Arabidopsis thaliana: one gene and its partner. The protein of the gene in region 1 purifies or fractionates together with the protein of each later gene. This does not show direct contact. Each region holds a gene or a part of one and is shown in the gene's direction. Other genes may lie near its edges. The genes, in order: AT3G58510 and HON5.

Region 1 (6,158 bases):
AAGACTTTTTTACAGCTACTGATCAGTTTTTCCCTCGATATTAGCTTAGAAGAACTTTTATCGAATTGCAACCTCTCTCTCAACTTCAGCTAAATCTATTATCATTTAAGATACATTCCCCCAATTGGAAAATCCAGTAATGCATCTAACTGATGAGATTTTAACTAGCCAATCACCTAATCAAAAGGATACAATTTTGGCTGTGGGTGAGACAAATCCACAATACAAAGCATATTGAAATGCGAGCTAATCGCCTATTCAGAATCCAATACAGCCAGAAATCATTAAGAAACAAAAAAAAATGAAATCCATTTCTATCAACCCGTAAAACTGACGTGAAATGAGCTCTACACCTATACTAGAAGATCCTTCTCGAAGAATCAGATCATCATATACTCACAGAAATAATCCACCCTTGATTTGAAACAAAATCTGAGATCTAATCACCGAAATGGCCCAAAGTTCACTCGAAAAACTAAATTACAGATCCAATTTTAAACGAAGAAAACGAAAAGGTGCGAGGAAAGCTATATTCTAACACAATCACAGGCACCTGTTGCTCGGAGAGAGGCTTGCACTGCATGAGCTGCGAGATCTGCTCATCTAGATCGAGGGTTGCATCCGTTGGAAGCGAATTCGCGCCCATGTTTTTGGTAGTGCGTCGTCGTCTTCTTTCCTTCAAGTCGGATCCGGAAAACAGATCAGAAACGAGGCAAAGGTTTCCAGATTAGGGGCAGCCCTAACCCTAAATTGGATGGATTCTGCGTATTCTTCGCTTTTTTCTTTCTCTCTCTCTCTCGCCTTCGTGTGCAGAGTGAGAGAGGAAATCAAAACAAAGGGGCGCGTGAGGTAAAGGGGCGAGTGGGTTTGTAGCTTTCGAGCTGTGTCTTGATTTGACCATTATATCCTCCTCGTTGAGATCTAAATGATAAATTGACTAAAACACCCTTTAGTTTTCTTATAAAAGTGTTTAAATAGGTAATACACACAAAATTTGTAAAGTAGTTTTATTTCTTTTAATTAAACACACAAAAACTATATAAACATACAATACAACTATTGTTTTGAAGAATTTTTCATTTTTAACAAACATTTTAGTTTTTTCTCAAAAAACTATAATCTAAGTAAAATGTGTTTACATAAGGGTCTAGCTATGGGAAAATACATTATCAACTATTTATTCATAGCTAATGAAATGTAATTTTGATTTAGCCAAAACATCATTTTAATTAAAATTTGAATGGTTACAACATAAAATTTTGACCAAAATTTATGTGACATATATATTTTTATTCTCTCTAATGATGCATACTAAAATTTATGAACGATGAATGTAAAATACAAATTGATTTGCTCCTTCATGAAAAATAAATTTAACCAAAAAAAAAAGAAGAAATCTCTAATTATTGACAATTCATGAGAGTCCGAACATAAAAATAATATTCAAAATATAGGTTCATGAAAGATTTAGATTACTCTATTTTTGGAAATAAATATGGTTTGAACTTTTTTTTACATATAAGTTGAATCGTTTTTAAGTTAGATACAATTAAATTCAGAATAAACAATTTTAAAGTTCTAAAGATTTAAGTGTAAATTTGTTTCCCCAATAATTATTGTATATATGTTTTTCTCAAACTCTTATGAGTGTATATAATTAGATTTTAAATCAATTCTTAAAATATAAAACAAGCTAATCTCATTATCATACCATATTTTTGGCTTAAGGTCATTTTGAAGATTAATAACATGTCTATTTTATCGCGTTGTGTCCGATCCAGAAGGTAAACATCGAATTTAGGGTTTTTCTCTCCCCCGAGCTTGCTTTTCCGTTGGGTGAACGACTACCGTTGATTTTCTTCGTTTTTTTGGATACCGATTCGATTCTCTCTCACCGATTTTTGAGGTTCTTTCTCTATATCCTCTCGTTTTTTGTTTCCGCCTACGTTTATCTCTCGATTTCGAGCTGTATCAACTAGCTAGGGTTCCTTAATTGGTTTATTTCGTTTGAGGTGATACTCCTTTCTTCTTCTGTTTGCGTGATACGATTCTAATTTGCTTGCTTCGCTTGGCGTTCCCTGGCTGGGTTCTCTTTGTTTCTCTTCGTCTTGGTAGATTTGATTTCGGATTTTGGGGGTTTCCTGCTTATGGAGTTCGATTTTTACATTACACAGCTGCTATTGTGATTTCTATGATTGCGTTTGTGCTAACTATTGACCTATTTGGTATTTGCCAGGTTCTCTATTTTTCGTGGATAAGAAGATAAAGTTATTGTTTATTGATAAGTTTTCTGCTGGGAAGTTGCAACTTTTTCTAGATTTAGGACGTTACAAATTTCAATCATGAGTGCATCATGGGCAGATGTGGCTGATTCAGAGAAGGCCGTTTCTCAGTCAAAGCCTCCTTATGTTCCCCCACACCTACGGAACAGGCCATCAGAGCCTGTTGCTGCTCCTTTGCCACAAAATGATCATGCAGGGTATGGTGGTCAACCAGCTGGGTCTCGTTGGGCTCCTCCTAGCAGTGGGGGTGGTGGTGCCAGCGGCGGTGGCTATAGGAATGATGGAGGGCGCACTGGCTATGGTTATGGTGCTGGAGGAGGAGGTGGTGGTGGTGGTGGCTGGAACAACAGAAGTGGAGGGTGGGACCGTAGGGAACGTGAAGTAAACCCATTTGGAGATGATGCTGAGTTAGAACCGGTCTTTACAGAGCAGGAGAATACTGGCATTAATTTTGATGCCTATGAAGATATTCCAGTTGAGACCAGTGGGGGAGACGTGCCCCCTCCTGTTAACACATTTGCTGACATAGATCTTGGGGATGCATTAAATCTGAACATCCGGAGGTGCAAGTATGTGAGGCCAACACCGGTACAGCGTCATGCTATTCCAATACTGCTTGCAGAGAGAGATTTGATGGCCTGTGCCCAGACTGGGTCTGGGAAGACTGCTGCTTTTTGCTTTCCAATAATTAGTGGAATCATGAAAGATCAGCATGTAGAAAGACCCCGTGGTTCACGGGCGGTTTACCCTTTTGCAGTCATCCTCTCACCAACAAGGGAATTGGCATGCCAGGTAATATACACACCAACAAGAATAGAGTTTCTTCAGAAAGAAAAAATGTACGTGTATATAATATACACATTTCTCATTCTGTGATTTTCTTGCAGATACATGATGAAGCCAAAAAATTCTCCTACCAAACTGGTGTGAAGGTTGTTGTTGCTTATGGAGGAACACCCATTCACCAGCAGGTAATTATCATACACTTTTTTGTTTATTGGTTTTTAGCTTGTCATTGGAGTTTGGATTTTGCTACATGATTCTAGCACTGTTTTTTGTTTTATGTGAGTAGCAGCTTTCGCTTACTGATTTGAGTTCTGCTAGCTCTTTCCTTCCCAATGCCAGTCTCCTTTGTCAACATATGTTCTGATTTTGAAGTCAGCAATGCATAATGTTGGCGAAAATCAAATCTTGTATTACAAATTTTTTCATATGCTAGTTAACATTGTCGTATCGCTTGTATCATCTTTACATAACATGCAGAAGCATTGGAATTTTTAATCCTTGTTACAGGTGTTAGTTAGTCAAACAGTTTTCAAGCATCGATTTGTTGACCACATATTTTATTGTTTATTCAGCTCAGGGAACTCGAGAGGGGATGTGATATCCTTGTGGCAACTCCTGGCCGGTTAAATGATTTGCTTGAAAGAGCTAGAGTCTCAATGCAGATGATTAGGTTTTTAGCTCTAGATGAGGCAGACAGGATGCTGGACATGGGTTTTGAGCCACAGATTAGAAAGATTGTTGAGCAGATGGACATGCCTCCACGTGGGGTGAGACAGACAATGCTGTTCAGTGCTACATTTCCAAGTCAGATTCAGGTTGGTTTACTTGTCCATGAAACACCTTTTTCTTGCTCTTAAATTCTATTCTAGTGAAGTAGCATGGTAACAAAGAACAGGATAACAGTGTTCTTGGATTTATGTCTGTAACTCTGTTCCTTCCCAGATCATGAGGTGAATCTTTGATGATTTAGTCTTTAGAGTGTTATATTTCTTATGTGAGAACAGCTGCATAATATTCAGCACGCACAAGAATGATTGGTTCTTAACGTTTCTTTTAATATTACCGTATTTGTTTCCTGTGCAGAGACTTGCAGCTGATTTCATGTCAAACTATATATTTTTGGCTGTGGGAAGAGTTGGTTCAAGCACTGATTTAATTACCCAAAGGGTTGAGTTTGTCCAAGAGTCTGACAAGAGAAGCCATCTCATGGACCTGCTTCACGCGCAAAGAGAGACCCAAGACAAGGTAATGCATTATTTACCATCTGTTCACTTATCCAAGATTTATTATCACTGAAGCTCTGACTAATTCTGCCTTTCTTCACTTTTTATACACAGCAATCATTGACATTAGTTTTTGTGGAGACAAAGAGGGGAGCTGATACTTTGGAAAATTGGCTGTGCATGAATGAGTTTCCAGCAACCTCCATTCATGGCGATAGAACACAACAGGTTCGTTGATTGAGTTAAGTTGAAATTTGGATAATTGTGCACACTAAAGCTAAAACCAAACTATAGAAACAACCTCGATGATATTACTGAAATGAACTCTTTAAAGATCATCATCAGTAAGTTGTTCTCTGTTGACTCAATCTGATTGACTTCTTTATGTTGTTATGAATTCAAAGGAAAGAGAAGTGGCACTGAGGTCCTTCAAAACTGGGAGGACACCTATTTTGGTTGCAACAGACGTGGCAGCACGTGGTCTTGACATTCCCCACGTGGCTCATGTTGTAAACTTCGATCTACCAAATGACATTGATGACTATGTCCACCGTATCGGACGAACAGGACGTGCAGGCAAATCTGGAATAGCAACTGCCTTCTTCAACGAGAACAATGCACAACTGGCTAGGTCGCTTGCTGAGCTAATGCAAGAAGCCAATCAAGAGGTCCCCGAGTGGCTCACACGATATGCTTCACGTGCTTCATTTGGTGGTGGTAAGAAACGGTCTGGTGGTCGGTTTGGTGGCCGTGACTTCAGAAGGGAAGGCTCTTACAGTAGAGGAGGAGGCGGCGGCGGCGGAGGAGGCGGCAGTGATTACTATGGCGGAGGAGGCTATGGTGGTGGTGGATACGGTGGTGCTCCAAGCGGTGGGTATGGTGCTGGAGTGACCAGTGCTTGGGATTAGCCAATTAGGCTCCCCAATTTTTCCTCTTTTTAACCTGACTATTTATTTCTTCTCTTCTACATTCCCAAGAGAGCACGTGTATTTGCCCCCACCTTTGAGATCTCTCATTCAAGAGATGGATTTAACTAATCTTGCTATTAGGTGGATCTCTCTGTTTTTTCAGGCTATTTTTAGGATTTGTCCTAAAAGATAGACAGTAGTTTTTCCGATTTTGATCTTGTTCTTGGTTTCTTCTAACAATTTCATTTGTTAGTTTGAAATCCAATTTGTCTTTTTGTTTCCCTTTGTTGTTGACAATCTTTCTTGGTGAAATACAATCTCTCTTTATATCATTTTAAGGACTTTGTGCTTACATTGTTTAAACTCCGTTCCGTTACTTCAAAAAGATAAAATGCAGGTACATAAATTGTTGCTCTGTGTGAATTAACATACAACAATTAGATTCAACAACTATTGCTATTCAGCTTCAGAATCTTCTTCAAGCTCACTTCCTTCCACAATCTCTTCTTCTTCAGAGCCTTCTTCCTCAAGGTCATCCTCTGGCCTATCAAGCAAAAGTTCCTCTTTAGAGACCATGCCTAGCCCTCTCGCCCGATAAAGAAACCCTGTTCTCATCACATGATAAAACTTATCTCGAAGACGAGTGAGAGGATGCGGATCCACTAGTTTTCCTCGGCGATACCCTTCTTTGAGGATCACAGTTGTTGTCTTACACTTCAATGAGAGGTAGAAAATGCCGGGGTATCGCGTGAATAGACGAGTGAACTTGTGCGGAATGTTGAGCTCCGCTCTCATGCTTCTCAAGTAGTTCCTCTTGGTTTTCTTGTGGATAGTCAAGCTCAAGAGCTCGTGCAAAACAGCCACAGCTCGTTTCTCCATGAGATCGCTTTCCGGATCAATGTTACTCGGGTCATCGTAAGGAGATATGTAGGGAAGTTTTTGAAACTCATCCATCCATG
Region 2 (5,377 bases), on another chromosome or scaffold:
GGTTGCATTTGTTGACTTTAGTCAGCTTGGGCATTTATCCATTTGTGGACATCATTGTTACATTGTAGACCTATGAGATTGATAATATTTATGGTTAAACATTATTATATCGTTTTTCAATTTCCAGATGCGCCAAACCATCCCAAAAGGTAGAAGTCGGATATATGTAACAGAATGATTTGGAGTTATTGAGATTTGGACTTAAGATCATTCGTTAGGCTGAATAGAGCAGTCCATAGAATCCCTGAACATCTCCAATTAGCGTAATCTCAAGTGAAGAATAGAGACTTGGCCCTTTAGATGTCATGCTTATTCTGCACAAACTCAAATAATTCGTTTGTTTTCTTCCAAATTGCTCTAGTAAACTCAAATATTTGTTTCCTCCTCCAATTTTTGTTATCTCTAGGATTCTATGAATATGCGTTTTATTCAAATATTATTAAGAATGTCTCATAGTTAACCTTTTGAGTTGAACACTTATAATAATTGGCACACACATATATATATATATATATATATATATACTGTAACCAGTAGTTTTTGTTTTGCAACTTTGCAAAAACACAAATAATCATCGGCGAATAAGAAATGATTAACCGTAGGAACAGACTGAGCGATGCGTATGCTCTCGATGCCACCATTTGTTTCAACTTTGATGATCAGTTGACTTAAAATCTCTGCACATAGAATAAAAATATATGAAGACAAATCATCGCTTTTGTCGAATTCTCCATGAAAGCTTCCAATTTTCATAGGAAGTGCCATTTACGAGGACATAGTATGAGATGGTGTTAATGTTCATCATAATCCAAATAAATGTTAAAACATTAAGAATATGAAAAAATGATTTGTTATAAATGTAGATAATGAAATTATAAATCTTATTCTAGAAAAATTTTAAATATAAAAAATGAAAACTTTTTTGAAAACTTTCAAAATTAGATAAGAAAATTGTTTATATATAATTTATTATGGTACATGAATAGAGAATTAGAATAACAAAACAAAAAGTTGAAAGAAACACAAAATGAAAAGGCTATACAAGAGAATTTAAATCAGCCATGACGAGAGAGTAACCCAATTAGACTATGGTGATTTAAATCTAAACTTTTTATTTTAGAAAGTTTATATTAAAGAATATAAATTTGAATGTTTGTGGTGTGAAAAAATTCAACTTACCTTTATTGGTTATGTATATATGGATTGAAAAATGAATAAGGAGTTCAAATATATTTTCTGAGCTTAATTTTTTTAAATCATATTAGTGTCATTTTGCGTAGTTTAACAAAGAATCTCGATGAAAATTTAGCGTTGTAAATTTATTTCGTTAAGCAACTTAACGAAGTGTCTTATTTCAAAAAGTCAATAAAATTAGCTATTAAAAATTTAAAACAAAAAGTGAATTAAAATTTGAGTTTTATTTTACCTAAAACAGTATTAACGTGTTTATAATAGCACTTTTTAACTGTTGGAGATTTTCTTTTTCTTTTTTTTGAATTAGAGTGAGATAGTGATCAAGAAAATGAAGAAGGTGTTAGTGCACATCATATAATCCAAGTAAATGTTAAAACATAAAGAATATGAAAAACTGATTGGTTAGAAATATACATTTTTTTTTGTAAACCGATATTAAGTAGAGAATTTAGTATAAAAAATCTTGTTCTAGAAATTTATTAGTATAAAGAAATGAAAGCATGTTTAAAAACTTTCAGAATTAGAAAAAAAATGTTTACATATAGTTTAATATGGTACTTGAATAGAGAAGCAGAAAAACATATAAAAAAAATTGAAAGAAACACAAAACTCAATTTTAATAACAAAAGCAAAAAACGCCACGTCATCGATCCGTGTCGTAAATCAGCACCAAAATACACTTTCAACGGTCAGATTTTAACTATCTCATCTGTCGTCATTTTCGATCTCTCTCTTACACTACTACACACACTCTCTCTCCTCCAACCTAACTATTTTTTATTTTTTATCTTCTCCTTCCACAAAACTTTTTTAATTTTATCTGAAAAATTAAAACAACCGAAACAAAAAAAAAAAACTAAAAATCAAAAATCTCATCACCTTCCTTGCTCTGTATTTTTTCTCTCTCACTAAATCCTCCATGGATCCTTCTCTCTCTGCAACCAATGATCCTCATCATCCTCCTCCTCCTCAGTTCACATCTTTCCCTCCTTTCACCAACACCAACCCCTTCGCCTCTCCAAACCACCCCTTCTTCACCGGACCCACCGCCGTCGCGCCGCCAAACAACATCCATCTCTATCAAGCAGCTCCTCCGCAGCAGCCACAAACATCTCCAGTTCCTCCTCATCCATCTATTTCCCACCCTCCTTACTCTGACGTAAGCTCTTCTTAGCTCATTCTTACATTTTGACTTTAAAGTTAGGGTTTTTAATTTCCACTCACTTTTTTTTTTCGTTGATTAGATGATTTGCACGGCGATTGCAGCGTTAAACGAACCAGATGGGTCAAGCAAGCAAGCTATTTCGAGGTACATAGAGAGAATTTACACTGGGATTCCTACTGCTCATGGAGCTTTGTTGACACACCATCTCAAGACTTTGAAGACCAGTGGGATTCTTGTCATGGTTAAGAAATCTTACAAGCTTGCTTCTACTCCTCCTCCTCCTCCTCCTACTAGTGTAGCTCCTAGTCTTGAACCTCCCAGATCTGATTTCATAGTCAACGAGAACCAACCTTTACCTGATCCGGTTTTGGCTTCTTCTACTCCTCAGACTATTAAACGTGGTCGTGGTCGACCTCCAAAAGCTAAACCAGATGTTGTTCAACCTCAACCTCTGACTAATGGAAAACTCACCTGGGAACAGAGTGAATTACCTGTCTCTCGACCAGAGGAGATACAGATACAGCCGCCACAGTTACCGTTACAGCCACAGCAGCCGGTTAAGAGACCGCCGGGTCGTCCTAGAAAAGATGGAACTTCGCCGACGGTGAAGCCAGCTGCTTCTGTTTCCGGTGGTGTGGAGACTGTGAAACGAAGAGGTAGACCTCCGAGTGGAAGAGCTGCTGGGAGGGAGAGAAAGCCTATAGTAGTCTCAGCTCCAGCTTCAGTGTTCCCGTATGTTGCTAATGGTGGTGTTAGACGCCGAGGGAGACCAAAGAGAGTTGACGCTGGTGGTGCTTCCTCTGTTGCTCCACCACCACCACCACCAACTAACGTAGAGAGTGGAGGAGAGGAGGTTGCAGTCAAGAAACGAGGAAGAGGACGGCCTCCTAAGATTGGAGGTGTTATCAGGAAGCCTATGAAGCCGATGAGAAGCTTTGCTCGTACTGGAAAACCCGTAGGAAGACCCAGAAAGGTAAAATATCATTCCTTTTTGTCTCTGCGATTACACAGTGATTATAGAGAACTTGAATATTTCTAGTCAAATAGATAAGAGAATAAAAGTTGGAACTTTTGTCTTGTGAATAAATGTCACTTTCCATTCTCAACATTGTCTCTTTCGAGCGTGTGTGTGGAGACTAGAGAGTATCTAACTAAATAAATTCTAGAGTTTAATTTATATTCGTGTCTCTGCTTTTGGCCTATACTTAATCTGGTTTTGTGGTGTACTATTAATCTAAGATATCTCTTTGTTTGGTAATCAAGAGCAACTTGGTAGGTGGCTCGCTTTAGCAACCAATAATTGTTCAGTTGAAGTGTGAGAATTACATATGAACTTATCTTTTGAGACAGACATCTTATCAAGTTTTGTCTGTTTTAAGCAGAAATTTAGTTAATTCAGTCAAAGTTCAAGAGTTTGTGTATTTCCAAGTCCACTAGAATTTCTTTGTCTATTATATTGATGAGTTAGTTATCTAATTACATTTATATTATTGCCATTTATAAACATAGAATGCGGTGTCAGTGGGAGCTTCTGGACGACAAGATGGTGACTATGGAGAACTGAAGAAGAAGTTTGAGTTGTTTGTAAGTAATCTAATGAACAGAAACACAATATGGTCCGTCCTTGGTTTTGATACTTAATTGCTTATGCTTGGTTTTGATATCTCATTTATGCAGCAAGCGAGAGCTAAGGATATTGTAATTGTGTTGAAATCCGAGATAGGAGGAAGTGGAAATCAAGCAGTGGTTCAAGCCATACAGGACCTGGAAGGGATAGCAGAGACAACAAACGAGCCAAAGCACATGGAAGAAGTGCAGCTGCCAGACGAGGAACACCTTGAAACCGAACCAGAAGCAGAGGGTCAAGGACAGACAGAAGCAGAGGCAATGCAAGAAGCTCTGTTCTAAAGATAAAGCCTTGACATAAAAAGCTAGCAAGTGGTGGGTTTACTTGTTGTGTGTTACATGAAATTTTTAATCTTATAAGGGTGTTTGCAGGAGAAAAACAAAAAGAACAATGTGATGAACTGATGATGATGATTGTGTCTCTAACCAAACAACAAGGAGAGGTAGGGTAATGTCTGTAAAGTGAATTAGGATGTTACCATTGTTCATGCTTCCCATCTCTCTCCATCGTCCATATCTGTGTAGGCAGCTTTGTTCTTTGTTCCCTCGTGTTTTTTTTAGACTGTTGTGTCTCTTATTCTATTTTGTCTCCTTAGGCTTTTTAGGAGTTGTTGTTGATGTTTATCAAAAACGCTTATGTAATTTTTATGACCACTTCTACTTTTTATGATGGTTTCTTCAAGTCTCTTACGTTATGTAGTTAGAAAACCATTAAATAAAAGTTGCTTATGTCAGTTGCTCTGTTTTAATTTGAAATCCGGTTTTAATTTTAAGTGTACTTATTGCAGAAATTAGGTAGAAGGTATAGAACGGTTTTACTCTTCACTCACACACCATTTAACCAAATTTCTAAATTTATTACTCGATAAACACTTTTTTAACAAGTTTTCAATACTTTTCTCCAAAAAAATTTTGAATTTGAAATAAAGTAGTGTATTTTTCGATTTTGGTTTTATAAATCAACTTTTTTTTTTGAAAAAGTTAAAAAGAAATCACCACCACATTTGCATGTTATACTATAATACCAAAAAATTAATATTCGTGATTTATTTTAAAAATCTGTGAATTAAAAAGAAAAATGAAATGTTGATAAATAAAAATAAAAACAAGGAGTAAAGGTGGACCCATATCGGTTGACGCAACTGATTCTGAACCTCTCGGTCGTTCGTTTCTACTCTTTCCAAGCTCTAGCCCATGGTGGTGACCTTCTTCTTCTAACCGCGAAAACCATCTCTATCTCTCTTATCTTTCTTCTCCGCCAAGTTTCTCTTTGTAATTTCTTTCTTCTTCCTCCAGATTCTTCAAGCTTCCTTTACCATCTCGCGAATCCTTCTATTAAGTTGAACAAGGTACGTACATTGCGATTTGCGAACCCTAGTTTTTCTCAAAACG

Evidence for each region.
Region 2: the proteins of AT3G58510 (region 1) and HON5 fractionate together in Arabidopsis thaliana (co-fractionation; one large-scale study listed by BioGRID). This does not show direct contact.

The regions. Positions count from the first base shown.
Region 1 is NC_003074.8:21,638,266-21,644,423, forward strand, and holds AT3G58510 (DEA(D/H)-box RNA helicase family protein), read left to right. Parts: upstream 1-1,712; 5' UTR 1,713-1,784; exon of another isoform or gene 1,785-2,012; intron 2,013-2,236; 5' UTR 2,237-2,342; coding exon 2,343-3,074; intron 3,075-3,169; coding exon 3,170-3,253; intron 3,254-3,640; coding exon 3,641-3,883; intron 3,884-4,151; coding exon 4,152-4,313; intron 4,314-4,405; coding exon 4,406-4,519; intron 4,520-4,695; coding exon 4,696-5,199; 3' UTR 5,200-5,530; downstream 5,531-6,158. Other genes in the region: PP2A-4 (protein phosphatase 2A-4), read right to left, coding at 554-646; AT3G58520 (Ubiquitin carboxyl-terminal hydrolase family protein), read right to left, coding at 5,656-6,158.
Region 2 is NC_003070.9:17,973,038-17,978,414, reverse strand, and holds HON5 (high mobility group A5), read left to right. Parts: upstream 1-1,751; 5' UTR 1,752-2,113; coding exon 2,114-2,353; intron 2,354-2,438; coding exon 2,439-3,332; intron 3,333-3,868; coding exon 3,869-3,943; intron 3,944-4,036; coding exon 4,037-4,267; 3' UTR 4,268-4,773; downstream 4,774-5,377.